Coturnix japonica: one gene and its partners. The protein of the gene in region 3 purifies or fractionates together with the protein of the main gene of each other region. This does not show direct contact. Links are inferred from orthologs where the notes say so. Each region holds a gene or a part of one and is shown on either strand. Other genes may lie near its edges.

Region 1 (3,512 bases), on a different chromosome or scaffold from region 3:
GCAGACTGTGGTACAATCCAACCCAAGCAGTGCTTTTTAACAGAGAGTAAATAAATGATTCATTTCTTTTGAAAGCTGTCTAATCTCCCGAGAGTTACCATTGCAAAATGTTATTGCAACAATTCATTGCTATGGATACATGTTGCATTTCGTGTTCAGTTAGTGAGTCATTCTAAAACTAAATGTCAGACCAAGTGGCTTGAGTAGGTCTCATTCAGAGTTTTTTCTGTCTCAGAGAACCCTTGAACGAGAGGTCCAGCAATGCCAAGCTCTGGTCATCTGGACTGACTGCGATCGAGAAGGAGAGAACATCGGTTTTGAGATCATTCATGTCTGCAAAGCTGGTGTGTAGAGCATCTGTTGCATCAATCTGTTTTCCATTAAAATGATGATTTAACAGGTATCACTGCTCAGATCTAGTAACAGATATCATCCTTACTCAGTTGTCATTCTTACATGTCCAGGTCAAATCTTCTGGCTGTAGTTACGATAAATACATGGCTCTGATACACCAGAAATACATTAATACATTGGAAAGATACAAAATATGTTGACAGCACACACTTTTAAAGACAGCAGCAGTATATTAGTTCATGCTTTCCATTGCTGTATGAGTCATTCTGGTTATTATTTTTTTTGTCTGATAGTAAAGCCAAACCTCCAGGTATTCCGAGCACGTTTTTCAGAGATTACACTTCATGCTGTCAGAAGGGCCTGTGAGAATCTCACCCAACCAGATCAAAAAACTAGTGATGCTGTTGAAGTCAGGCAGGAGCTGGACCTCAGGATAGGTAAGTAAACATGCTTTGGAGATGAGAGCTGGTTGCTAGGCCTGAGCTGCTGCATATACCCTTGAAAGCAAGTGAGCAAGAGTGTGGTAAAAAGGCAGGGGACAGACAGCTTACAGTCTGTCATCAACATGTAGCTTATTTTCTATAAACACTTGAACTCTTAGATTGCTTTAGAAACTAGACAGCTAGCTATCAGACTTCCTCACTTCTCAGTGTATGGGAAATTGGTAATCACAGCCTGAACCTATGATTAATCAGCTGATGCTGATTAATTAATTAATTAATTAATGCTGAACTATTCAGTTCTAGCATCCATTTTGTTTTCTCAGGTGCTGCTTTCACCAGATTCCAGACCCTGAGGCTCCGGAAGATTTTCCCTGAGGTTTTAGCAGATCAGCTGATCAGTTACGGCAGTTGCCAGTTCCCAACTCTGGGGTTCGTAGTTGAGCGCTTTAAAGCCATCCAGGCCTTTGTCCCTGAAGCCTTCTATAAAATCAAAGGTATGCTGGAGGAAAACAAGCGCAGTAATCCATTTTAAAGGGTTTAATGTATTTGGAGAGGAAAAACTTCAGGGCAACTAACAAACAATGCTGCAGAAGTGATTTCCCTTGCCATTATCATTAAGCAGAAAGTGGAAAGGTTTCCTAGTAGCATGGTCCCATTGCCTCTGCTGGTTTTCAACTATATTACTACTGTATAACTCTGATCTGGTTTTCAACACAGTGACACATGATCACGAAGATGGCAATGTGGTCTTCAACTGGAAGAGGAACCGGCTCTTTAATCACACAGCGTGCCTGGTTCTTTACCACATGTGTATGGAGGTAGGAAAACTTGTAAAAAAAGACGTATGATCTAATATCAGCCAAACATGTCCTGCATCCTTCTTGTTCAAGATGTTTAAAGAACTGTCTGTGTGAAATCTTCGAGGAAATCTTGTATTTTGATTACTCTCTATTTAGGATCCTGTTGCCACTGTTGTTGAGGTTGGAAGCAAGCCAAAGAGCAAATGGAGACCCCTGCCCCTGGACACTGTGGTATGTTAGAACTATATATTATAAGATTAATTAAAATAAGCTTTAAACAGTTATTTTACTCAGAATAGTTCACAAATACATTTTTTTCTGTCTCTTCCCAACACAGGAACTTGAAAAGTTGGCTTCCCGTAAACTGAAAATAAATGCAAAGGAAACCATGAGAATAGCAGAAAAACTCTATACTCAAGGGTAAGGAAACAAGCTTTGTCTTGGTAAACTTAATTATTTCAAAAATATGTGACTGTTAGTCCAAATCATCCTCAAGCACCTCTTGAAGTTCCCTTCTGTCTTTCTTAAGGTTTATTAGCTATCCCCGAACAGAGACCAACATTTTCCCCAAGGAGCTGAACCTCTCTGCCTTAATACAACAACAAACACAGGACCCCAACTGGGGAGCATTTGCACAGAGGATCTTGGATCAGGGTGGGCCGAACCCTCGGAATGGAACCAAATCAGACCAGGCTCACCCTCCCATTCACCCCACAAAATACACCGCTAACCTGCAGGTAAGTTTAGTATTGCTTGATAAAATAAAGACAGAAATACTATAATATAGTTGTTAGCACAGTATCCGCACCTGAGATTCACTAATATTTCTTAATATCTTGCTAATACTAGAAGAGAGTAACTCTTACTGTTTGATAACAGGGCAACGAACAGAGACTATATGAATTCATTGTGCGCCATTTTTTGGCTTGCTGCTCTCAAGATGCCAAGGGACAGGAAACAACTGTGGAGATTGACATTGCTAACGAGCGATTCATTGCTCAAGGACTTATGATCCTGGCCCGAAATTATCTGGAGGTTTATCCTTATGAGAAGTGGAGTGACAAGGTAACATCCTTGAACAGTGTAGATGGGACTGCCTAAAATACCTGGACTTTAAAACTGCAGATGGGTTGTACTAATGGGAAAGCTTCCCTGCCACTTTCAGGCCCATCTAGAGAATGTCCTTTGACAATTCTTAACACACTGGCTATTTCACTTAGAACTCTCTCTGCTGAACACTAGTGCCACTTAATTATGCCAGCTTTGGATAGATTCTTCCCTTTCTGACACCGCAGCAGAGACCATACAGGGCTGCTTCCACGTGGGGAGGGATACTCACCAAGATGAGCTGCAGTTGCTGTTGTGTGGTGTCTCTGGCAGGTTTTTACTGGCTAATCCTGAGCATCCCAAGACTCAGTCTCCTCCAGAACAGAGTGCTGCTATATTACTGCACCAACTTGCTGGTAGTGTGACAGCTGTTTTCAGTGGATGGTCCAGAAGACAGTTTCAAAGAGATTCTCCTTCCCTTCAGGTTATCCCACTGTATCAGAAAGGGTCTCGCTTTCAGCCCACTACAGTGGAGATGGTGGATGGGGAAACCAGCCCTCCATTGCTCCTCACGGAAGCGGATCTCATTGCACTCATGGAGAAACATGGCATTGGTCAGTATTGGCAGTGTGGCCTTTCACTCTTGAGAGAGCTTTGCTCATAAGCATCTCCTCAACTTCCCTAGTACTAGTTCTTTCCAGCCCACAGAGTAGGGGATTCTCAGAACATCACTTCAGATGAGAAGTCACTTAAATATACAGAGCAGAGAGATAGTAGAAACCTGTGGGCAGCATCCAGTGAAACTAACAAGACTGTACTGTCTCTCCATTACCCAAGGGGATGTGAAGTTTAGGGTCCAGGGCACATC
Region 2 (4,060 bases), on a different chromosome or scaffold from region 3:
GGTGGAGCATCCAAGGGCCATCAGTGTGGGCTGAGGCTTGCATTTCCAATCATCTCCTGGATGGTCTTGATGCACATAGTGACTCTGCACGTGGTTCACCAAGATCCATAGACACTGCAGGATGCAGATGTACGGCTCTACTCACGCAGGGAACTGTGACAGTGTGTTGGAAAAGAGGTGAAGTGGACGCATTCAACATGAGATATCAACTGGGGTGTGCTGACCCACCGACCCTCCCAGGATTTTCTTACTGCATCTCTGTACTCTGATTTGGTGTGTAGAGGGTAAGTCCAAGCCACTGCTGGAAGTATGTTCAGACTGAAAGGACACCTGGAGTGCTACCAGCAAACTGCTCACAAATGGCCTCTTGCTTTGTAGCTCTGTTCCCTGCATGGTTGGTCTGTTCTTTGTGCCTTGCTGAAGTTGTGCCATATGGAGCAAGTGCTTCAACGTCTGTCTGGGTGTCTGCCTGACCGTGAGACCCAAGAGCTCTTCTCCTCTCTGCAAAACAACTCTCTAATTGTTCACATGAGTTGGGGACAGTCCTATGGGTGCTCATAGGGCTGCATGTCAGGTCACACCTTGCTTTCACTGCCTGCCTTGTTTTTCTCAAGCTGACGAGCTCCTGACTAATGACAGTCACCGCTGCTTAATCAAGAAGCAATTTAAGGATAACCTTTTTTAATTAACCAGCAGAGAGGATGAATAAATAAACTGCAAAACAACCAGCTGGCTGCACCACCCCCAGCTGAGGGGCCTGTGATAGAAAATGGCATTTGGGGATGGGGCAGATGGCTCCAGAGCTGCCACTGGACAGGATGGTCACAGTATGAGATAGGGATAAGGAAATGGGGCTCCCCAGGGCTGTTTCTTTGCCTTTATCCCCTAGTACTGCCCTGCCAACATAAAGTAAAGGTGAATCCCAGCTGTCCAGGAAGATCAACTTGATGTGTATAATTACAACTAATGGAAGCGCTTTTTTTTTTTCCAGAACTTTAATAAAAACGTGAATAATTACAGTATTATGAAGGCAGCAGCATAGCTTTTCATAATGCATTACTACTGTTTGTAACTGAGCACCAGAGGACAAAACCTCAGCCCACAGCTTACAATGGAAGCCCCATAGCTTACAACGGAAACGCCATAGCTTACAATGGAAGCCTCACAGCTGAATCTACTTCCGCCCCCACCCGCCCCGATTCCCTTAGAGTCCCTAAAATGGCGCCGCGCGGGGAAGACTCAATTTCCCAGTGCGCCGCGCGCCTCTCAGACAGCTTGGCGTCATCGGGCGGCAGAGCGGGGGCTGATGGGTATTGTAGTCTGCGGTGTTGCGCGCCTTGTGGCGGCCGGGCTGGCCTCTGCCCGCTGGTGGGTACGCGGGGGTTTGGGGAGGGTCGGTGAGGGCTGAGCCCATAGCGGGTTGCAGCGGGGCAGTGGTAGGGCGTGGGGGCCTGGTCGGCGGCGTGGTGCCTCTGTGGGCAGCGGGGGTAGGAAGTGTGTTGGGTGTGGGGTGGCTCGTGGGCCTTGAAGTTCCCTATCCCGTAGGGTTGGGGCAGGGATGGAACGTAACCTCTGGGAGGGGGGTGGGGACGAGAGGAGCGAGCCTGGCTTTGTACGGTTAGTTTAGTGCATCTCTGAGTGTTGGAGGAGGTGGGCAGCCTCTCACACGTGAGGCCAAGGAGCAGGTGGAGAAGGGAGGTGTGGTGGGGGCCAGCTGCTTGTTTTCTGTAAGCTCTAAACAAGCACAGCAGTGAGAGGGGCTTTCTCTAGGGAGGAGCTGACACTCACCTCTGTGTGTGTCTCTTATGTGCTGTGAGATGCCTGAGGACTGAAAAGTTGTTAGGAATCGATGACTGATAGTAATGTGTTGTCAGTACGTTGAGCTTGTTGCTGGGGGCAAATTTGAAACTTCCTGCTGCTTTATTTTTTAGGCTGCCCTCCGTTCCTACCAAGAAACGGGTGCTTCTGAGATGAAATAACTGATGTACTGACTCAGGTTTGTTTTGAACTGGTGAAGATGTCATCTGGCCTTACGGAGGAGCAAAAGAGAAGAATTGAAGAGAACCGCCAGAAGGCTTTGGCTAGGAGAGCTGAGAGGCTAGCAGCCCAGCGGGGTGGGCAGCTGGGGATCAATGGGCCTCGGGTAAAAGAACAGAATCCAGACAATCGAGGAAGCTTGAAGCAAGAAAACAATCATGTCAGGTTCATTAGCCTGCCCCAACAGAATCCAGACAGTCCTGTGGAGCAGAAGAGCTATCTTCGGAAAGATTATAATCATTACACTGCGAACCAACAGATGGCTGGTTCACAGGGAGAGCAACAAAAGAATTGTTCAGAGGACTCAAAGCAAACAAGTGGCAATAAGCAGTTCCCTACACCGATCCCAAATTCTCTGAGTTATTCCCATCAACGTTACTCAGATGGACAACATGGACAACAAGCTTTAATTAATCCTGGTACATTCCAACAGCCCAAGTGCTACCCAGCTTCCAAAAACCCTACAGGAACATCTCTCCCTAATTTAACTGGTAACTGTAACGCTGATGGTATTAAAGTTGTTTCATCACCAAGCAGCGCCACTCTGAGTGCTTCAGAAATGGTGATAAATACAAACAGATCAACAGACAGACAAGGTGGAAGTGGTGCCTTTCGGGCCAGTGGTAAGATGCAGAAGCTGACCAGCCCTGCTGTTGCAGACTCTATCAAAGCTGCCTCTTGCAAGAAAGCAAATAACGTTACAAAAGGAAAATGTGTGAAATACGGGGAAGACCGTTTCCAGGTTGAAATAGGGTATAATGCTGACCTGGTTGCTTTGTTTAAGACAATACCAACCAGAAGCTATGGTAAGAATTGATTGATAGCTGTTTTCTCTGTGCTCTGTTTGATTGTAGTTTCAGTATATGCTGGAATTGTAGAAGCATTATGCTTTTAGCGGGGGAGTTAATGTTGGGATCAAATATATAGGATGGTATTAATGGAGTGCTGGAAAAGTCAAGGCAGCTGAAATTGAAAAGAAATTCTGAGCATAAAATTTTGATTTTGGATTTAGCCAAGAAATCAGGAGTTATATGAACAGTGCTTGAAGAAGTTTAGTGTTGGGAGCTGGTCAGTGTTTTGGGAATGAAGGAAGTTATTACTGAATAAGTATGGGAAAATAGGCCACTTCCGAGTTGACGGGCTGAGTATTAACTGTGTTATTGCAAGTAGTGGAGTTTGCAAGTTGCTGATCTTCTTTCCATGCCTTTATTTCTTGTATTCTCTTTTTGTTTCCCCACATATATTGATGCTCCCTGTGAATGACTGTTCCATCCTCATTGCCTTAGCATTAATGTGCCCTATGGCTTTATTTGGTGCCATGTAGCTGTAAGCCTGAGCATTCTGTCTTTCAGATCTCTATCGAGAAATCTGCATGTATAAAATGGCATAAATGTTTAACAGCACCACTTTTTTCTACCCCATATAACTCATATTCTGCCCTATTTTAGATCCTACTACGAAAAAATGGAGTTTCAGCCTGGAACATTACAGCAGTTTCAGTAAGTAAATGGATTGCTGAGTGATAAGAAAGGCACTTAAGACTTAAGATCACCACTGTAACCTTTCTCTGTGATTTTACTTCGTTATTGTCTGGAGTAATAAAAAAAGATGGTGCTACTCAAACATAATGCCCACCTTTTAGGCTTCTGGCTCATATTATTTTTTGACATTTTGTAGTATATTAGAAATACGATTTTTTTGATGCAATCTAAATGCCTGGCTTAGATTTAACTTTTTCTGCAGTTGCTGAATTGCTTAGGAATCAACAAGCCTGATTATAGCGGATTCTGTATTGACGACTGGTTATTGGCTAATACTTGATTTATAGATCTGTTGAAGTACGTTCTTTTTAAACTTTTCTTTACTGTTTTTCCTATTAATTTTGGGTGTCGGGAAAGGAAAAAGTCTAATTTTCTAAAGCTCTGAGTGAGGCTGAAAGTGAACTACCAAGGATGGTTTTTATCTTTTTCTGTACTGTCATTTTGTTCTGCAAAGATTGAGGGATGACAGGTGAACGAGCCAG
Region 3 (3,688 bases):
GGGTGAACCAGGCCTGGCCAGGCTGCTGGTAACAATCAAAACACTGAAGAAACCAGCAGATAAAACAGAAAGCCAGGCTTTCACCAGATGCAATACCTAATTGCCTGAAATCACAGAATCACAGAATTGTAGGGGTTGGAAGGGACCTCTAGAGATCATCGAGTCCAACCCCCCTGCCAAAGCAGGCTCCCTACACCACATCACACAGGTAGGCATCCAGGCAGGTCTTAAATATCTCCATAGAAGGAGACTCCACCACCTCCCTGGGCAGCCTGTTCCAGTGCTCCGTCACCCTCACTGGAAAGAAGTTCTTCCACACATTTGTGCGGAACTTCCTATGCTGTACTTTCATCCCATTACCCCTAGTCCTGTCCCCATGCACTACTGAAAAGAGACCAGCCTCACCACTATGGCTCCCACACCTCAGGTATTTATAAACCTGGATCAAGTCCCCTCTCAGCCTTCTTTTCTCAAGGCTAAATAGACCCAGTTCCCTAAGTCTCTCCTCACAGGGGAGATACTCCAGGCCCTTCACCATCTCAGTGGCCCTCCGCTGGACTCTTTCCAAGAGATCCCCGTCTTTTTTGTACTGGGGAGCCCACTTCTTTCTCTGCAAACCCTCACAGCAAACCTGCAGTGGCAACCAAGCATGACAGAGATGTGACGCTACTGACAACAGGGCACGGCATCACGGTGACGCTCCAACCAGACACAACAGCCCCAGGAGCGGCGCTTTGCAGCGGGCTGCTGCACCTTCATGCCACGTTTCCTTTGCAGCTCTGAAGAGACGCTGATGCGACAAGGATCAAATGAAGAGCTGAGAGATGAGCGGCAGAGCGACCCTGAGGGGATGACAGCGCTGGGGACAGCGGGATGGGAAAGGAAATGAGAAGGACGTGGAAGAGCCGCAGAGCTGCCCTGCCGGCTTCCCCGGGGCTCGGCCACCTCCCACCGGCCTCTCCACAACCTGCACAACCCCGGCCCTCCCTCATTCCCCCGTTACCCACCAGCCACCGCCGCCCGCCGCTTCCGGCTCCGTGAGACGACACCGCCGCCACCCCGGGCTTCGAGAGCCGCCCGCGGCGCGCTGCCATGACGCCATAGCAAAGCGCCGAGCTGATTGGCGATCCCCGTTGCCAGGGATAACGGGAGGCGGCGGGGCGCAGCGCGGGAAGGAGCGGCCGCCATGGGCGATGTGCACGAGGCGCCGCGGCCGCGCATCGGGGCCGCTCAGCTGGCGCAGCACATCGGGCGGCCCGTGTGCTTCGTGGGCCGCGTCGAGAAGGTCCGTACCCAGCCCCGCACCACCCCGCACCGGGCGGTCCCAACACTGCGGCCTTGCCCTGGGCTGGCTGCAGTCTCCCTGCGGGCCCGTCCGCCCGCTCGTCTTTCGGCCGCTGCTGAGCGCACGGCGTCGTTTCTCTTGTAGATTCACCCGACGGGGAAACTCATCGTTCTGTCGGATGGAGAAGGCTGCAACGCCACGGTGGAGCTGAGCGAACCCGTAAGTAACCCCGGTGTGTCGTTGGGAAGGTTTGGCTGCAGTGCAGGCAGGTTTCGTTCCCCCACACCAGATACATCTCTGTTTGGATACCTCGGCTTACTCTGTTCATTGCTTGTAGCGTGCTGTGTTTCACTGCATGTCTTGCCTTACTTTTCCTTTCACTTTCTTCCTTCACCTCTTTACTGACCCTTTTCCTGCCCCTAACAGAATGCTTCACAGAATCATAGAATGGCCTGGGTTGAAAAGATCACAGTAATCATCTATTTCCAACCCCCTGCTATGTGCCAACCACCAGACCAGGCTGCCCAGAGCCACATCCAGCCTGGCCTTGAATGCCTCCAGGGATGGGGCATCCATAACCTCCTTGGGCAACCTGTTCCAGCGCATCACCCTCTAAGCACTCTAAGCATCCTGTACTTTCTGAGAATAAGCAAAAAAATTAGTTTGAGTGTTCGCAGTGGAAACAGCAGCTAATTTGCTGGTGCTAATTTCATTTCTGGTGTGTCCTGCAGCTGGATGAAGAGATCTCAGGAATTCTGGAAGTGGTGGGAAGAGTAACAAATCAGGCAACCATCATGTGCATGTCATACGTCCAGTTCAGGGAAGATAAAAGTCCATTTGGTAAGTAAGGGTATATGTTATGGCAAATTAATTTTGTGTTCTGAACATTTATTTAGTAAATAAGGAGAGCATTATCCCTTCCTGTGGACATGATCATTCTTCAAGCTGCCTAATACAGCGTGGGGTATATAAAGAGACAACGGCATCAGGAAAAATTACATACTCAATACACTTTTTTACTGCCAAACTGTAGGGGCTGATTCAAGGCCTTAGCTGATCTAGATCATTGCCGTAAGTCTGATTGTTGTCCCAGTTACACAGTTCTTTGTCCTTCTTGTCTGGTGCTGGACTTTGTGTGATTGTCCAGTTAGCAGGCCTAAAAATAATCCCTCAGAAAGAAAGCAATGAGAATATGGCAGGCTTGGGAAACTGGGAACATAGGGGAAGGAGAACACTCAGCTGTATTGCTTTGAAATTGGCTGTGCTTTAATGCTGCAATTTACTAGTAAGAAATTTAAGTTAAGCTTCTTCTATTTTTGTCCCCTTTCAGATCTGGAAATCTACAGTGAAGCACTGAAAATTATTCATGAATTCCCTGAGTATTTCCCCTTCGGTACTGGGAGGAATTGATTCTTCTTAGAGCTTCAGTTGTGCAGTATTACCTTGGCTGTCTTGCCTGACAGCATGGTAAGAGTTACATTAGTTTCCAACAAATATACTAAGAAGATGCTACTACACGTGCCACGTGTGGCCAATGAAATATCTTTTCTTACTAACTTCTGTTTGAATTAGCTTAGCAAGAAGCAGAACATTTCTGTGGCTGTCTTACTGTCTGTATATATTTAACCCTTCTGCATTCATGAGGAATGCTCTCTTGCAGGATTTGATTTGCTAGAAATTGAAGTTTTATAGGCATCTTTTCCATTGTCCACAGAGGTCCTATGGATACTTAACACAAAATTCATACTGAAGATATTTGGTGGGGTTTTAATGTAAAGATATTTTAAAATTTCTTTTGCTTTGATATAAATTGAACGTGGAGGGGGAAAGATTTGTTTTGTATCTTGATAATGGTCACTTCTCCAATAAAGAAAAAGCTATGACTACGTTCAACTACTTGTGGTAGTATTGTATCTACCAAGTGCTATTTATAATGATTCATGATGATTCCTGTTCCATTTTACTTAAGTAATTTAATTTTAACGAAGTGGAGCACAAGGTACTTGCCTTTTGCACTGATGTTAAACAGTTGAGAGATGTAAGTGTCTGATTAGGCTTGGTAACTCAATCACACATAAAGCCCGCATCACAACCTTCGTTCGTGGTGGATGTTAAGGCAGAAGTACCAGGACAAGAAGGTCCCTATGGCATGATAGCATACTCTGTTCCATAGTACTATCGCTGCTGTGTTTTAGTGTCACTGCCAACAACTACGTGCTTGTTTTATTGGAATTTAACTCTTCAGAATTACTCTACCATACCAAAAAAATCTATTTTGTGCATGTATATACATTCTATAAAACATCATATGCAAGTAGTTCTTATTAAGTTTATCTGAGCCCAATAAAATGGATTCTACCACTAGATGGCTGTAGCACTTCACCCTGACACAGAGACCATCCT
Region 4 (4,171 bases), on a different chromosome or scaffold from region 3:
AAATGATCAAAACTGACTGAACAAGGTTGTGAACAGCCCAGTGCTAATATTCAAAGCTAAAACTGTCACCTTCATTCAGAGAAGCAACTTTCAAAACTGTGATTCGAGACTTCAAGCAAACTCAGTTGTTTAGAATTCTTTCACAACAAGAAAACATGCATAAGGCAATCTGACCCACAGGCACAGTTCTTTGCCAACTTCCGTGCTGAGATATTTATTTTCACATTTTGTTTAATATCAGCAGTATCAAGGCCTGCTGAGTAACAAACACAGGCTGTAAGAAGCAACCAGACCCTGCTGTTAGGCTGGCACCAGCAGGACACTCTAAGGGCTCAACAACCTGTTTCACCCAAACACAACTGCTTCATGAGAACCTTTACGGACTGTTGCCATTTCTGGGCACAGAGCTGCATGAGATGCGGTATGAAGTTGTCTTCTAATTCACAGAACTTCAAAAGTGCAATTTAAAAAGAAGAGCATTCTGTCTAGCAACACTTGTGGCTTAACTAGTCCTCAAACATCATCACCTTCTTAATCACACACGCCTTGAGGAATGATTTGGGCCAGTACACCTGCCAGGCCAAGCAAGAAACCAAAGATGAGAAGACTGCATTAAAAGTAACATCAAAGTTACACAAGTTCTATGCAAGAGATCAAGCAAAAGGAAGCTCTCCTCAAAAAGAAAAGCTATCGAAACCATAGCTTCGGCCCCTGTCCCACAACAGCTTTGGAACATGAACCAGAAGGGTAGAGCGAAGAGGTGCTTTATCTACTCAACCACCACGACTGTATCCAGACCACATTTCTGCTACGCCCAGCTATGCCTGTGTTACACTGATCCCTGCGGCAGCCACATCCTGCATGCCGCCCACCTGTTGTGCCCCGCAGCATCGCCACCCCTCAGTGCCCGGAGGGCCGGGAAGCCGCGTCAGATCCAGCCAGATGCCCGGCCGGAGGACACCCGGCCCCGGGCTCAACTACCGACGCTTCTCGCCTGCGCCCCTCGAAAAGACGACGGGGAAGCGCTCTTGCCGGCGGCGGGATGAAGGCAGCCCCTGACTGAGGGGCTCCGTCCCGTTGCTGCGGGACAGTCCCAGCACCGCGCGCGGCAACGCCCCGCCATAGCCCAGCGCCCCCGGGCAGGCAGAAGCTCGGTCACGCAGCACGGGGCACTGAACGCGGGGTCCCCTCCGACCCACCGGCTCTTACCCATCGCAGCCGGGACGCGCCGCGCCCGCCGCCCCCAAGGCGAGAGGAGCCCGCGGCGCTCGGCCCCCAGCCGGACCGCAAGATGGCCGCCGCCACTCCGCCCCGCGCCGCACTGCCCACGGGCGGGCCTCGCCGCTCCCAGCAGGCCCCGCGCGGCGGCGACAGGCGGGCGTTGCCTCCGCCGCCCCGGCAAGGGGATGCGGCTTCCGAGCGGAGCGTCGGGCCGCCATGTCGGTGTGCAATATCTGCGGGCGGCTGCTGCCCTCAGAAGCGGCGGCGCGGCGTCACGCGAATCGCGCCCACCCGGACAAACAGCCTCGCTGCCCGCTCTGCAGCGCCTCCGCCACAGGCTACGAGGAGCTGCGCCGGCACGTGGAGGCCGCACACACGGAGCCACAGCCCCGCGCCCGCAGCCCCGAGATCGGGTGCCCATTCTGCGGGGAGGCGGCGGGGGGACAGCTGGAGGAGCACGTCAGGGCCAGGCACGGGCGGCTGCTCGGCGCAGGTGGGTGGTGGTTCCCCTACGGCGTGGTATTGCCGGTGTAACGCGTTGGCTGTGCTGGCAGGGAAAAGGAATGATGTTAAGAATGCAGAATGTGACGCTGTAATCGACGAAGATTTAAGTTGGATGTTAGGGGGAAGTTCTTCACTAGGAGAGTGGTTAGGCCCTGGAACAGGCTGCCCAGGGAAGTTGTGGATGCCCCGTCCTTGGAGGTGTTCAAGGCCAGGTTGGACGGGGCCCTGGGCAACCTGATCTAGTAAAGGTGTATGTTTGGTGGCCCTGCCAGGCAGGGGGGTTGGAACTACATGATCCTTGAGGTCCCTTCCAACCCGGGTCATTCTGTGATTCTGTGACGGCGAGGTATGTTCTGATGTTATTCTTCATATTCTGCTGGAGAGACACGGACCTGATGGAGTGCATCAGGAGGGCCACAAAAATGATCCAAGGAATGGAACGCATCTCTTATAAGGACAGGCTGAGAGAGCTGGGGCTGTTCAGCCTGGAGAACAAAAGATTCTGGGGAGAGACCAGAGAGCGGCCTTTCAGTATCGAAAGGAGAACTGTAAGAAGGAAGGAGCTGTCTCCTCACCACGGGGTCTGTGGGGATAGGACGGGGAAATGGTTTCAAACTAAAAGAGGAGGGATTTATTGTAGGTGTTAGGAAGTTTTTTCAATAAGGGCAGTGAAGCACTGGCACGAGTTGCCCAGAGAGGTGGTGGAAGCTCTATCCCTGGAGACACACAAGGTCAGGCTGGATATGGCTGAGTACCCTGATCGAGTTGTAGTTGTCTATGTTCCTCACAGGGCAGTTTGACTAGATAGCTTTTAAAGGCACCTTCCAACTCAAAACGAGTTGGATTCTGAAGCTACATGACTCAAAGAGAGGGCACTGAAGGTTAAGTTGGGTTTGTCTTTGTAGTGTGCAGTGACAGCACTGCAGGCAGCAAGTGAAATGAGGAACTACCACTGAAACTTAAGAAAGCTGTTGCTGTGAGTCTTGTCAAACACTGCAATGAGAACTTTGTGGTGTTTCCATCCTCAGGAAAGTGACTGGAAAAGGCCCTGTGCCTGTTTGACGTGACCGTGGCTTGACGGTCCTGGTGATCTCCAGGTGATCTTCTGAATCTTAGCTACTCTTAGTAGTAACACTAAAAGTGCAGTAGAAATAGCTGAGGAAACAAAGGAAGGTTAATAAAAAATGACAGCATTGTAGTTTCTTTTCTGCTTGCTGACTGCTGTATTGTCATACAAGACTTAAGATTTCGTAAGCAACTGTTCTTCCATCAGCAGGACATATCTTTTCATTAAAGGTTTGATATTTGATTGGCATTTTGTAGGCCTTCCTTAATAAAAAATATTATAGCAAGCTGTGGTAAGTTAAGTTGGGAAAATTTTGCTGAATAGGAAGAGGGGAAATATATCTTCAAACTTTTCAGGTATTTAAATATGAATTCATAAATGGCTAAGAGAGCAATAGCTATTAACATGTGTTGCCTTCCACTGGGGAATTTCAGTACTAGCACAATTCTCTTTGTTTTTCTTGAGCTACTGGGGGATGATTCTTACAAAAACACACAGCAGAAAAGAATAAACAGGAATTGCATTAAGCAAGAAGCTGTATTTCTTTTACAGATACAGAGAGCATTGAACAGCTTTATGAATGTCCAATATGTGGTCTTACCTGTACAAACATTCAAATTCTCGAGGAACATGTGGATTTACACTTAGAGGAGCACAGCTTTCCGGAAGGTACTTGGAAGGATGCAAGCTTGATAATCTTTGGAAACACTTACATGTTGCAGTATATAACCTTGTACAACATTTAAACTAAATATTTCTTTATTTAAAAAGAGAACTAAATAGATTTGTAACAAAATTAAATGCAAGTTCTATCACTTGCCCTTGTGCTTTGCTTAATTACATGTGCTATGAGAAGTGTCTTTCTATGCACGCTTGTTCAGTAAATGCATTAGATGTTAGGTAAAACTAAAACTTGGATATTCCTGTTACATCCTCTAGCTCTATAAAATAATTGTCTTTGCAGAATCTAGTAGCACGTTCCCATGTGAAGAGTTCAAAACAGTCTTTTGAAAACTACTGATTTTTTTCTTGGTTCTTTTCTGTAAATGTTCAGGGTCATAATGATAAGGTAAAGGAATCAAAATAAGTTTGCTTTTTGTTTTTTTTTTTTTTGTATGGCTAATAAAATGCTGGATATTCACTATCCAGCTCTTTGATCCCAAGTTTCTTTTTGTCGCTCTGAGATTACTAGCAGGTATCTGAGAAACTGATAGGTCTGTGTTATTCAAAAATCTAGGATTTCTTACTAATAATTACGTAAAGCGTAGTAACCAAAAAGATGTTCGCTTAGTAGTAGAGCTATGCTTGCATTATTTGCCAAGCAGTTGCATTTGTGATTGCATATGCATTCTCTAAGTTGTGAATTTGGTCTTAATAGAG
Region 5 (3,967 bases), on a different chromosome or scaffold from region 3:
ATGAGACAGAAACCAAACAAACCAGAAATAGGATTCTTTTTCTAGTTGGGGAGCGTGCCCACTTATCACCTTTTAAACTCATCCCTAACAGCCCTAAACACAGAATTTTCACTTTGCTTGGAGATTACAAAAATCTACAGAGGAAAAAAGATGATAAATGTCAGTTTGCATTTCTTTACAAAAGTTTCTGCAGCAACTGTCACCTAATTAGGCAGTCCTCAAATCAAAGGTGAAACGCAGAAGAGAGTGCAAGCTCCACTGAGCTAAATGCTGGCTGGGACTGCTGAGAGCCAGATCTGCTGCAGGAAGCACCAACAGGAATCTGGCAGAGCAAGGTAACGTGCTCCAGTCAACAACAACGCTGCCAACAGAAGAACTGAGAAGGGCGGGTTCATTTAACAAAAAGCAAAGACATCATCAGATGAAATCAAAGAGTCATTAGTGAGCTTAAGAGGTTTTTGAGGTGCTCGGAATTTGACCACAGTCACACACCTGGACCAAGCCAGGTTCTACAAGCCAGGCATCGAGGCAGTCTTAAACCAGTATGAGAACTGGTAAGGGCACAGCTCAAACACAGCTTCACTTCTGCTTTACCTGGCACTGACTGTCCTCTGGGAACCACCGACTCTTGGCTGCCTGCGAGCCCTTCGTACTCGCAGACGCAGCACAACCTGAGGCCCAGGCAGCAGCTGGTGCTGGTCAGACGCCCCCTGCAGCCTCAGCAGTCCGATGAGAGCTGAGGGAGGATTCGCCTGCTGGTCAGGATCAGCAGCTGCTTCCCTTGCGGCATCAGCAGTCGATACGACAACAACTTCATCGTCAGAAAGAACGATAGGGCTGCCTCCTCCGCTGCTGAGCGCTGCAACCTGAGAGGACAGTGCCGTGTGAGCAGCGGGCTCTGCAGAAAGCGTCCCCTGGTTCTCTAGGGAGTAGTTCACCACTGGTTGGAGATCAACTTCCATCTCTTCCTGAGCCATTTCTGTCAAAAACAAAAGAAAGCTATGAGCATTCACAAGCCTGCGCCCCACTAGTGGCCTGATGGCAGCAGAAACTGGCTGCAGCACTCAAAAGCCTTCAACATTCAGACTAGAGACAAGTTGCCATTTTGCCTTTGACATACAGCACAGAGAGACTGTCTCAAGTAGATACATGTATGTGAGCTGGCACCTTCCTGAGTTCTTTGTCTGAAGCCTTTAGCTCAGCAGTAGCTGGCACCAAAGACACACTGCAAATCCTGTTAGGTAAACCTTTGGATGAGCATGGAAAGTTCAGTAATTCTTGTTCTATTACTTTCCAGTAAATGCCTTTGGATCTTGGAGGAAAGTTTGAAGATATCTTAGAAATTCTCCATGGCAAAACCACTGCAGAAACAGTGACAAATACAAATAGAAATGAGCTCTGTAGAGCATCCAATCCTTTGCAGGCAGGCAGTCTTGCAACACAGAAAAGCTTAGATTATTTCATGAACTAAACAAATCAAAGCAAACAATTTGGGGGAGGAGAGAGCAGATTAAGTTCTGCAATCTGCTGCTGATCATTTGCCTCCCACGTGTTTTGGCAATCACAAATCTGAAAGGCTTTGGCTTTGGGGACAGCAGACCTTCAACATTATTTGAGAGCCCAAAGTGCGCACCAAAACTTCTCAAGGTAGGCGCTGTGTGAACAAACAAGGGTGTTTTGCTACAAAGAATAACCAGAGAACGTACACAAGATCCACAAGAGGTGGTTATACTAACAACTTTTGATATATCTTTTAACAAACTCTTACTAATCACTTTATAACACTACTTTAATTACCATTAGAATCACTAAAGTTAGAACAGACTTCTCAGACATCCAAGTCCCACTGCACCCCCCCCATGCCCATGTCCCTTAGTGCCACAACCCCACCGCTCCAGGGATGGCGATTCCCCCCTTCTCTTGGCAGCTGTGCCACTGCCTCAGTGCTCCTTGGGAAAAGAGGATTTCCTCATAACCAATATTTCAGCTTAAACTAGGCCAGAAAGGACACCAAGCCCCATCTCCCATCTGACCAGTCACAGATAGAGTTAAGGCAGTCCTGCTGCACTGAACTCAGGTTTGTGTTAAGGCTGCCACATGCAAACCCTTATTTTCCTCACACTGGAAGCCCTAAAGCACGGATAGCAAACCCCAAGTATTTCTTCGGGAAGATGTTAACGTTGACATTTTCACCGTGACACTTTGGTGCCTTCCTGGAAGGGCAAAAGTCAGCGGCTCCCCCGAGAGCCGCGTGCACGGCACCGCCCGTCCGTGCGTGTGGGGGGCGGGCAGAAGGTCTCGAGGTCCGAGGGATCGGGGCAGCAGCAGCGCTGGAGCAGCAGCTTCCCCTGGCGGACGGACAGGACTCCGAGAGCAGCACAGCTCCGCACCTCCATCCGGCTGCTGCACCTGTATGGGGGGAGCAACAGAACCCAAAGAAACCATCGGTACGTGGCCAGACTCGGAGCAAGCGGAGCCGTGCTGGGGGGTTAAGGAGGTTCCTCCCACAGGGATCCAACATGGGCCGCTACCCACACAGCGCAGCGCTGTGCCCAGCCGGGCCTTCCATGGCAGCCCCAGGCCGAGCCCCGGGGGAGCCGCTCCGCGCTGCACCCGCCGCCCCCCGGCCTCCCCCCGCACCGTCCCGGCAGCTCCCGCAGGGCTCGGTACGGGCGGCAGCTCCGCCGCGGTCAACGGAACCACGAGAAGGGAAGAGAGAGACGAGGACCGGACCGGACCGGACCGGACCCACCTCACCGCGGCCCACAGCTGCCGCCCGCCAGCGCCGCTCGAGCAGCGCGCCGCCCCGCCCCCTCAGCCCTATTGGCCCGACGCTCCCACTGCTGACGCTTCTATTGGGTGAGCCGAAAGCTATGGGGATTTTCATTGGCCGAGCGCTCAGTCAGTCTGCCCCAGAGAACGGACTGGGGAGGAGGAGACTGAACGGACTTGAGAGTGAAGTGAGGCGTGCTCTGATTGGTCAGTCGAGATAGAGCTGCCCGTCTGATTGGACGGTGAGATCCTCGAGGGACGGAAAGGGCGGGGACCAAGAGACAGGAAGTGCGTTTTGATTGGGGGAGGCGCCGCCGGGACGAAGTAAGCGGGAGCGGGAGGGGATTCAAATCGGGGTTGCTGTGGCAACGGGGCCTAGAGGCCTTTAGGCCTCACCCGCGGGCCTCGAAGGACGCGAAGCAGCCGCTACTCAGAGATCTTCCAGTCTTAGTTAAACAAATAAACATATATTTAAACATATATTTAAGGCAGGGAGGCCAGTCTGGGCGGCCTGCTGAGGCTCTCTGCAGCTAGATGCCCTGATACCTCCTCTTCTCCAGGTCAGCCAGCAGGTCCACGATCTCTGTGGAAGGTAAGGTCAGTGTTAGCCTGAACAGAGCAGAGCAGGCTGTGTGGTGAGGATAAACGCTGTTGTGTGAATGGTCTCTATGAGGAGACAGAAGGAAACCAGCTCTTAGGAGGCCTGGCGGTGTCAGCAGGACAAGGGGGGATCCAAAGAGACAAAACTGGGCAAAATCCGATGGCAAACAAGGCACAGATTCACCACGGAGGTGTCTGACATGTGGGGAATGCCTTCAGGACACTCACGCTCAGCAGACGGGCGCTGGAACGGATCGAAGGCCCGACACTGGTTGATGATTTTCTCCATCTCTTCAGGACAATCTTCCCCGACTGGGTCCTGGAACTGCCGGTCACAGATTTTGTCCCTGATCTCCTGGAGAGAGCAGCCTAAATGGAACACGGACATTAGAAGATATGGAACCCACCAAAGCCATCCCGCAGCCTCCTCCATGGAGGAGCCAGCAGAGGGGCCACGCAAGCTATGTCTGTAATAAACTGCCCCGTCTTTGCTGTGACACCACTAGGCCTCATCGAAACAGGATGCCTTAATGCTTCACTGCATGGGAACAACAAATAGAGACAACCTTTCTTGCATTCTTGTGGTTTAACCATG

What was found.
Region 1: the proteins of RPA3 (region 3) and TOP3A purify together in Homo sapiens (affinity purification with mass spectrometry; 3 studies listed by BioGRID and IntAct, with this or other methods). This does not show direct contact. The link is inferred for Coturnix japonica from reciprocal best matches to the Homo sapiens genes RPA3 and TOP3A.
Region 2: the proteins of RPA3 (region 3) and SMARCAL1 purify together in Homo sapiens (affinity purification with mass spectrometry; 3 studies listed by BioGRID and IntAct, with this or other methods). This does not show direct contact. The link is inferred for Coturnix japonica from reciprocal best matches to the Homo sapiens genes RPA3 and SMARCAL1.
Region 4: the proteins of RPA3 (region 3) and ZUP1 purify together in Homo sapiens (affinity purification with western blotting; 3 studies listed by BioGRID, with this or other methods). This does not show direct contact. The link is inferred for Coturnix japonica from reciprocal best matches to the Homo sapiens genes RPA3 and ZUP1.
Region 5: the proteins of RPA3 (region 3) and RFWD3 purify together in Homo sapiens (affinity purification with mass spectrometry; 5 studies listed by BioGRID and IntAct, with this or other methods). This does not show direct contact. The link is inferred for Coturnix japonica from reciprocal best matches to the Homo sapiens genes RPA3 and RFWD3.

The regions. Positions count from the first base shown.
Region 1 is NC_029529.1:5,110,328-5,113,839, reverse strand, and holds part of TOP3A (DNA topoisomerase 3-alpha), read left to right. Parts: intron 1-235; coding exon 236-344; intron 345-647; coding exon 648-791; intron 792-1,120; coding exon 1,121-1,291; intron 1,292-1,514; coding exon 1,515-1,615; intron 1,616-1,753; coding exon 1,754-1,828; intron 1,829-1,934; coding exon 1,935-2,017; intron 2,018-2,126; coding exon 2,127-2,334; intron 2,335-2,476; coding exon 2,477-2,662; intron 2,663-3,128; coding exon 3,129-3,258; intron 3,259-3,512. UniProt on the Homo sapiens protein: Releases the supercoiling and torsional tension of DNA introduced during the DNA replication and transcription by transiently cleaving and rejoining one strand of the DNA duplex.
Region 2 is NC_029522.1:23,407,827-23,411,886, forward strand, and holds the start of SMARCAL1 (SWI/SNF-related matrix-associated actin-dependent regulator of chromatin subfamily A-like protein 1), read left to right. Parts: upstream 1-1,254; 5' UTR 1,255-1,368; exon of another isoform or gene 1,369-1,372; intron 1,373-1,931; 5' UTR 1,932-2,017; coding exon 2,018-2,843; intron 2,844-3,485; coding exon 3,486-3,536; intron 3,537-4,060. UniProt on the Homo sapiens protein: ATP-dependent annealing helicase that binds selectively to fork DNA relative to ssDNA or dsDNA and catalyzes the rewinding of the stably unwound DNA. Rewinds single-stranded DNA bubbles that are stably bound by replication protein A (RPA).
Region 3 is NC_029517.1:22,630,126-22,633,813, reverse strand, and holds RPA3 (replication protein A 14 kDa subunit), read left to right. Parts: upstream 1-1,146; 5' UTR 1,147-1,186; coding exon 1,187-1,285; intron 1,286-1,429; coding exon 1,430-1,504; intron 1,505-2,016; coding exon 2,017-2,125; intron 2,126-2,615; coding exon 2,616-2,695; 3' UTR 2,696-3,178; downstream 3,179-3,688. UniProt on the Homo sapiens protein: As part of the heterotrimeric replication protein A complex (RPA/RP-A), binds and stabilizes single-stranded DNA intermediates that form during DNA replication or upon DNA stress.
Region 4 is NC_029518.1:57,985,311-57,989,481, forward strand, and holds the start of ZUP1 (zinc finger-containing ubiquitin peptidase 1), read left to right. Parts: upstream 1-1,365; 5' UTR 1,366-1,437; coding exon 1,438-1,714; intron 1,715-3,343; coding exon 3,344-3,460; intron 3,461-4,171. Other genes in the region: KPNA5 (importin subunit alpha-6), read right to left, coding at 1,210-1,213. UniProt on the Homo sapiens protein: Deubiquitinase with endodeubiquitinase activity that specifically interacts with and cleaves 'Lys-63'-linked long polyubiquitin chains. Shows only weak activity against 'Lys-11' and 'Lys-48'-linked chains.
Region 5 is NC_029526.1:771,267-775,233, reverse strand, and holds the start of RFWD3 (E3 ubiquitin-protein ligase RFWD3), read right to left. Parts: upstream 2,808-3,967; 5' UTR 2,753-2,807; intron 2,410-2,752; 5' UTR 2,188-2,409; coding exon 2,151-2,187; intron 980-2,150; coding exon 595-979; intron 1-594. Other genes in the region: MLKL (mixed lineage kinase domain-like protein), read right to left, coding at 3,485-3,741. UniProt on the Homo sapiens protein: E3 ubiquitin-protein ligase required for the repair of DNA interstrand cross-links (ICL) in response to DNA damage. Plays a key role in RPA-mediated DNA damage signaling and repair.